2 linked regions of the Lonchura striata genome follow. The protein of the gene in region 1 interacts with the protein of each later gene in a pairwise test. Links are inferred from orthologs where the notes say so. Each region holds a gene or a part of one and is shown in the gene's direction. Other genes may lie near its edges.

Region 1 (3,908 bases):
AAATAAAAAAGCCCCAGGGTTAGTGCAGCTCAGCTGGGGAAGCAGAAGGGAACAGCGGGGTGCGAAGGGGTCAGAAGCGAAGCTCGTGACAGAGCTGCGGCGGGAGCCAAGCCGCATTTGGGGGAAGCCGAGGCTGTGCCGTGCTGCGAAGCGGCGCGTTGAGGGCGGCAGCACGCCTCGGCCCGCACGGAGAGCCGCAGGGACCCGGCAGCTCACCGCTGCCCCAGCTGCACAAGGCACCGTTCCGCTTTCACTCTTCGCGTGATTTTAAACGGTGGAACTGCTCCCTCAGAAGAACGGAAAAGGAATTGCGTCCTGCAGACACGCGAAGTATTTATTAGGCAAGGCTGGTGGTTTATTTAAAGGAATTTCCGATCTCCAGTGCGGTCGGAATTTCTGCTGGCGTTGGCCCGCGTGGGCCCGGCTGTGTGCCGCCCCGGGGGCGGCGCGCCGCAGCAGTTCTGTCCTTGGCACCCGGGCCACGGAGGGTCGGGCAGATCACGGCACCCGGGCATCCCGCGAAGTAAGCGGGGCACCCAGGGGCGACCTGTACCCGCGCAAAAATTCCTCTCACATTCCGAGTGAGGACCCGGGCGTCACCCCGGGTCGTTATTTTCCTTACTCATAAGTTTAAGGCATAACCTAGAGCCCGCCGCGCCGCCGGGACGCCGCTCCGCACTGGCTCCACAGGTCAGGGCGAGCGCCGCCGGCGCGGCTTCTGGCCGCTCTGCAGCGTCCTCACCGCTGCGCCCGGCTCCTGCCCCGTTTCGCGCCGCGGAACCGCCGCCGCGGGCCGAACCGAGCCCGAACCGAGCCGCGCCGTGCCGCGCCGTATGCAAATGAGAGGCCCGGGGACCGCGGGGAGTTGTGGGGCGGCCCGTCACAGCGGGCGGAGCCGGGGCGGGGCCCGCCGTACTTCTGGGGGCGGGGCGAGGAGCGGAAGCCGCACGGTGTCACCTCCGGGACTCTCTCGCTGCGTCTCATCGTTGGGGCCGCGACAAGATGGCGGACCTGTCTCTGGACGAGCTCATACGGAAACGCGGTGTGACGGTGAAGGGGAGGTGAGCGGCCGGGACGGCGACGCAGCGCCTCGGGCCGGCGGCCCCCGGCCGCTCCTCGGGTGGCTCCGCTCCGGGGGCTGCGGGCCGCGGCTGTCTCGGCGCGGCCCGGCCCTGCTCCCGCCCTCGCGTTTCCATTGGCTGAGCCGCGGGCCTGCGGGTCCGCGCTGCCATGCGATTGGCGGCGGCGGCTGTCACTCAGGGCCGGGGCGGGGGTCGGGCCCCACCGCGGCCCCTGTGCCTGGCGCTGCCCCGGTGGGGCAGGAGCGCTGCCGGCCCGTCCCCTCTCGGTCTCCTCGGGATTCCTGGCGTCGTCCCATGTCTCACCGAGCCCTCCGACTCGCCCTGCCCACGCTGCCTCCTGCTTGTCCCCACCGATTAACGCAGCGCTGCTCCCCGTAACGGGGCGGGCGCCCCGAACGCCGCGGGTACCCGGGCTGCGGTGTCACCCGGCAGTGCCGCGCGCTCCCGGGAGCGGCTCGGTGCATTGTGGGAGGGCTGCGGGCGCTCGGGGGCCGTAACGCCCGGGGCCGCCGGGCGCCCGCGCGGACCGGGCTGCCGGGGCTTCGGCCGCAGCGCCGCCCGGGCTGCGGAAGGCGTCGTCCCTCTAGCGTGGTCACTGGTGCTCCGCCTGGTTGTCCGAAGTAGTTGAGGGGACGTGGAGCATGTTGCAGATCGGAGCTGCAAGGTCAGGTTATTTCTTTGCGTGGCAGAAGTCTCCAGCCTAAGCTGGGCCATTTACTGCCACGGTTGGCAGTTCTTACCTGGATTCTCCTTCGGTACCTTTTCATTTTCGCTTTTGCCGTAGTCTCGCAATGGTTTTGAAGAACTTGTCCCCAATCTCTGTTAGCTCTGTGTGCTCTTGCTTTGTTGGTTCCTTTTTTTCTGTTTTTGTTTTTTTTTTTTTTAATTTATTATTTTTCGGTTTTGACTCTGAATGTGTATACACTTACATGTCTAGAGTAATATTCTGCGTTGCCTGGCTGACATATACTTCCAAAACATTCCAACATATTTAAATCCTAGTCTAGACAAAGCCTTAGCTTTGCGCTTTCATTCATGTTGTCCTGCATATTTGGAAGAGTCTTAGGCTGCTTACTATGCCCCAAGTACCTCCTTAATCCCTCTTTAACTCTCATTTCTTCCAGGAATTCTTCCTGCCTTTTTTTTTTTTTTTTTTTTTTTTTTTTTTTTTTTTTTCTGAACAATAATCCATCTGCAGCACTGTAAGAATTGTTGTGCCCCACACTCTTCTTGTGTGTTTGTTTAGCTCACTTTATAAATTCCTGAGGTAGCAAACTTGGCTTTGTGAAGTCTGGATAAACTTAAATCATTATATCCATGCTGCTCAGTAGCCTAGATGAAATAATAGAAAAAATTTCACTAATAAAATGTACTGGTCCCTAACATATTTAAGCCAGAGCTTAGAATCGTAGAAAGTGAATTAGATCTTTGAGATCTGCTTTTATTTCAGGTGCTGTGGCACAAATACCTCAGCAGTTAATGTTCTTGTAGGGTAGGCAATTATCTGTGAAAGAGAGTTGATTATTAGGGTAAAGACAACTTTTCAGAAACGGTGTAATCTTCAGTACAGTTTCTTAACCTATTTCACTGGGTTTTGTCATCAACAGTATTAACTAATTCTAGTTTAAATGTTGATACATACATTTTTGGTTGTACTTTGACCTCTCTCATGAGCCACTCATCCAGCCCTTTGCAGTGCTCCTGCTGAATGCTTTCAACATTGCTAAATAAATGCTTTTTAAAATTGCAAGGAAGGTCTTGCTCCGTGGCTGTTGCTTTATGGGTACTGTTAGTCTCCTGTGTTCTGTGTATATTTTCATAGGTAGTCTTAATAATCCTCCTGTTTCTTTTAGCTGGTTTGCTTTGGCTGTATGAGAGAGCAGCCATAGGACTCTTAGATAGGTGATAAAATGGGACTCCAGTCCCAGCTTTCCAGACATTGAGACACAAGAATGAGAGAGGCAGAAGCAGAGGTTAAGTCTTTCATTGTTTGATTGTTTGGGGTTTTGTTTTGAAAGATCTCTTCATTGAAAATACATGACTGTAAATAAGGTAAAGGTTGTGGAGTTAGATCAGGAAATAGTAATGTAAAGGTCCATGAAGAATGGAAATAGCATCATAATTTGATTTTGCAATACTACTCTTTTATTACAACGAATTCCAGGTATCTACTTTTACACTTTATAATACTGGGCAACACATTTCTGAAAGCAGATTAACTTTTTAGCCCTCTATTTTGACTTTTAGAAAGTCAACAGCAAGAGTATTTTTTCTCTCTACTTTTTTTTTTTTTTTTTTTTTTAGTACGAAAAAGCCCTGTGAAATAAAAAACTTTAAAAATACTCATCAGAGAGACTCCATTTAGATAAACTGGTTTTGTTCTTAGGGCAGATTTTGAAAAAGTGCATCAGACCTGTAATAAGAAGGTAGTTCTAGTTTTTACCCTGTATTGTGCTGCTTTTTATGAATGTTTGTCTACAAGAACAAATGCTGTCGTTTTTGTGAGCTGTTGTCTTTCTGTGCTTAGTATTGTGATAATGTTGTGCTTAAAAAGTAAAGGCCATCAAGTGCAGTAGTTCTTTTAGTAGATTAAAGAAGAGGCAGTTATTTTAGAAAGTAATTTGACTAATGACTATTCTTGCTGGAAGCTAATCAACCTTGAAACTGGTGGCTTTGAACTGGAATTGTTACTGGTGCTTGTACATACTAAAATTCAAGTTGCTGTGCTCCCACAAATTTGAACTTGCTGCCCAGATTTCTTGAAATCATGTGTAGTTGTATGTTTCCTTCATATCAGGATGTATTATTGTATTACAGAGGATGCTT
Region 2 (3,908 bases), on another chromosome or scaffold:
CCTTAATTTGAGTAGCCCACAGGCACATAAGAGATAATCACTGACTTCAGCCATTTCTTACACAAGCTTCTAAGAATAGCCATGCTTATTCATGTCGTTACACTACGTGCTGAGAATTCACTTCACCTGTAGCAGAGACCCGACTCAAATCTAGCAAGTTTAAATGGCCACTGTGAAACAAGCATAATTTTACACAGTAGTTTTGAATGAAAATTAATACTGCACTCATAACTTTTAAAGATAAAGCTTCACCCTTAGCAGCGTTGCCATATTGCAAGGGGACGGCACCAACTCCTACTGGGAGATCTCTCTGGTTTCTCCCTTAGCAACCAGCGCAGTTTGGCGGAGTTGTCTTACCTCGGAAAAATTAACCGCCAAGGGGATAATTCCTGCCACATAGCAGGCAACCAGCATGGCCAGGGACAGCAGGCAGATGGAGGGGAAGTCATCCATTTCGCCGCTTTCTGTCCGGTCCCTTGAAGTGAAATCCAACAGCAACTTTTCCACCTCCCAGCACGCCTTAACCCGTGCAGCCACGGAGCTCCCGGGAGAGGCTTTGGGCCATGTCTCTGCGCCCGGCGGCAGCGGCCGGCTCGGCCCGCAGCCGGGGTGCGCGGCCGGGCGGGAGCGGCTTGGCCAGCGGCCGGCGGGCCCGGCCCTCACCTGGGCGGGGGAACTTGCACCCGCACCGTGCTGCGCGCAGGGCAGGCGGGAGGGAGGGCTGGGGGACAGCGAGCCCGCAGGCGGCTCCTCGCGGCGGGGCAGCCCCAGGCGGGGCCGAGGGGACCGTGCGGGACCGGCGCTGCCAGCCCGTTCCCGCGGCCGCTGCCCGGCGGCCAAGTGGCACTCGGCGCTTCCCCTTCCGGGCCGCCCCGCCCCGCCCCGCGCGCTGCCCGCCTCCAAGATGGCGGGCGGCGCCTCGGCCCGCGAGGCGCCGCGGGCGGCTCCCCCACCAAAGATGGCGGCGGCCGCGCCCCGCCCCCGCCAGCCTGGCCGCGGCCCCGCGGGCGCGTGCGCGCGCGGCGCTCTGGCGCGAGCGGCTCTATGGTGGCGGCCGTTGGCGCGGCGGCGCTTCCGGCGGGCGCGAGGGCCTGTGGGGGATCGCCGCGCGCCACTTCTGCCGGCGGTGCTGAGGGAGCGGAGCCGCCATGGTGAGAGCGGGACGGGCCCGCCGCGTTCCGCCAGCGCCGCGCCCGCCGGGGCGGCCTTCCCTTCCCTCCTCTCCCTGTTCCCCGGGTCACTGCGGGCGGGAGGGCCGCGGCCGCTGGTGCGGGCCCGGGCGGGCGGCTGCACGTTTTGGCGGGGCAGGGCCGGACGGGGCGGGAGCACAAAGGCGGCGGTGGCGCTCGGGCAGCGGGGCGCTGGAGGCTCCTGCCCCTCTCCCCCAGAGCCTCGGCCCCTCTTGGGGCGCTGCTGGGATCCCAACGCTTTCCTGCGAGTGTCGCCCGTCGGACGAGCCGGCCTTAAATGGCTGATCTGCGATTTCCATGCTGCTTTCCCTGCTCCTCCCCTCTGCTCGAAGGAGGGAAGGGCGGGAGCTGCATTTATGGGCACTGGGAATGGCACGCTGAAGCTCAAAGGCCTCCCTATTAACGTGGTTTGTTGCGTTCATCTAATGAATTAAGATGAGCTGAAGCAAGTGATTGCTGTGCAGTGGGAGGACAGCCTCTTGTCGGTTTGCAGCGAAGTTTCATATCTGCCTGGTACTTGCTCCAGTGCAGTTGACTTCGGCCATGATGTGCAGCTGCAAGCCCTGTCCCTGTTGGCCAAAATGAAAGGTGGGCCTTAGGCCACTTTTTCTGCTTGGCATTTAGGTGTGTGCAGTATGCGACTGGTTGGTATTTGCATTACTGCACATCTTACCCTTATAATATGTGTATATCTTCCACTTTTATTGTTTCAGGGCGCTTTTTTTTCCACTTTATTGTCAAATACACTACAGTTGGTGGAAGCCTCTTTGGGCGGCAGATGCTGTGTAGCTTTAAGTCCTGCTGGTTTGGCTCTTGGCACTGCTTTAACCAGTTTTACAGGGTTCTGCTCTCAGTAGCAGGAGCAATTTCTCAAGTGCTCTCCAGAAGTTCAAAATTGGTATAATATAAACCATGTGATTCCTCATTCTGTGTCCTGCTTAAAAGCAGCGAGTAAACTGTGCTTTTAAGGAAAATGCAAAGAAATTCAACATTATGTATCATCATAGTAACGGTCCATATTGGGCTTCTCCAGACGACCTGGTGCTAATGCAGAAAGGTTTGTGGATCTTCCCTTGTTTTGGTTCTGTCACCTAGGCTCACAGGGCAGGTAATAGGAGACTTCCCTAAGGCTTCTGAGCTTGTCATTAATTTGTACCTACGTGGTAGGACAGGACCAGCAATTTTATCAAATCCAACAAATTTTCCTTTAAAGTAAAACAATGTCAAGTTCCCAAAGAAATGTTTGAAAAGCATTAATTCTACAATACACGTGATCCAGTGGTATTAATTTACATATTTTTCTGAGCCAGTATCTGATAATGGATATTGTATAGTGTCTGAAGTGATAAATGGCTTAAAGTCAGAAGTCTGAATGACTTCTGCTGTGAAGTTCTGAAGGAACTGGCTTACGTGTCTGGCTCACTGATGTTTCTATAATCTGATTATTTGGGTAATTTCAGAATTTATACATTCATTTAGCACTCCTCAGTGACCATCTAACTAAAATGATAGTGCTGGAAAAATTATTTTATGGTAATCTTTGCCAGTCATTTGGACTCCCTGCTAAGACATGCCTGTTCCAAGTACTGTGCACTTAGGAACAGCCAGATACCAACCCACCTTGGGGAATTCCCTTCAAGTCAGTCATCCTCTGGCATACATGAAAGTGGATTTAAATTATCTCCTCTCCTTTGTATGGTTTTTGTTGTTACAGTGTGCAGCTCAGAATTCCCCTTTTTTCCATTACTGATTAGATAAAGCCTCGCTCCTTCTTTTTCTCTGCATAACATTTTCCTGAATTTCTCAGAATCTGCTACTGCTGTGTTGAGACAAAGAACTGAAAACTGTATTCCAAGGATGGGAACACTGTCAGTTATGGGATAAGAATTTGTCCTGTTGTTTGGGTTTTTTCCTGTAAATCCTAACATTTGTCATTTCTCTTTTCTGTCACTGCTTTTCATGAGCACCGAATTGGTATCTTTACTGATTTCCAAAGTATGGGTCAGGATTTTTCTGTCAGCTGCTGATTAATCTAAGACAGATGATATCTGCAGATGCCTTTGTGTTGTGTGCTCACCTCACATATTACCGCTGAAAATGTTGGATCCAACTAGCAGCACTGGAAACGGCCATTTGCAGTATGCTTGCAAACTTTCTGTGGTATGCAACCTGTTAATGAGATCACAGATTGTGTACACTTCAAAAATCTTGCTTTTTTGCTCAAATTACTTGCTGCAGCCAAGTAAAAATGTTATGGAAATAATGGAAGCCACAGAGTGTACAATCATCTAAGCCTTTCCCGCAGAAGAACAAGCTTATGGACTCCAACATTTGGAACAGTTTTCTGTGCCATAATTACTGTTTAAGTAAACTCATTGAAGTGGGAAAAACCAGTACATCTGTTTTGCAAGAAATAATCTTGAGTGCTAAGTACAGATTTATTGTATCACTTCCCTTGAAGTTAAATTGATAACTTAAAACAGCTAATTCTGTTAAAATCTTTCATGTGAACATGACAATGTTGTTAAGTTGGGTCCCCTCTTTGCTCTTTAATTGGGGCATTGGAAATTTTACTAACAGCTTGCATTTGGAATTAAATAAGTAAATGCAGTAATGCCACAGCTCTTATACATTGACTTTATTGCTTTGCTTGTCTGTCTAAATAAAAACTGTTCCTGTGGTATTTTTTTTTTCAACACAATAGCTGTTTACTGGTGA

Evidence for each region.
Region 2: the proteins of POLDIP3 (region 1) and ERH interact in a two-hybrid assay, tested with the Homo sapiens proteins (2 studies listed by BioGRID, with this or other methods). The link is inferred for Lonchura striata from reciprocal best matches to the Homo sapiens genes POLDIP3 and ERH.

What each region holds. Positions count from the first base shown.
Region 1 is NC_134607.1:57,867,622-57,871,529, forward strand, and holds the start of POLDIP3 (polymerase delta-interacting protein 3), read left to right. Parts: upstream 1-901; 5' UTR 902-1,002; coding exon 1,003-1,061; intron 1,062-3,908. UniProt on the Homo sapiens protein: Is involved in regulation of translation. Is preferentially associated with CBC-bound spliced mRNA-protein complexes during the pioneer round of mRNA translation. Contributes to enhanced translational efficiency of spliced over nonspliced mRNAs.
Region 2 is NC_134608.1:33,811,498-33,815,405, reverse strand, and holds the start of ERH (enhancer of rudimentary homolog), read left to right. Parts: upstream 1-1,041; 5' UTR 1,042-1,148; coding exon 1,149-1,151; intron 1,152-3,908. Other genes in the region: SLC39A9 (zinc transporter ZIP9), read right to left, coding at 358-453. UniProt on the Homo sapiens protein: May have a role in the cell cycle.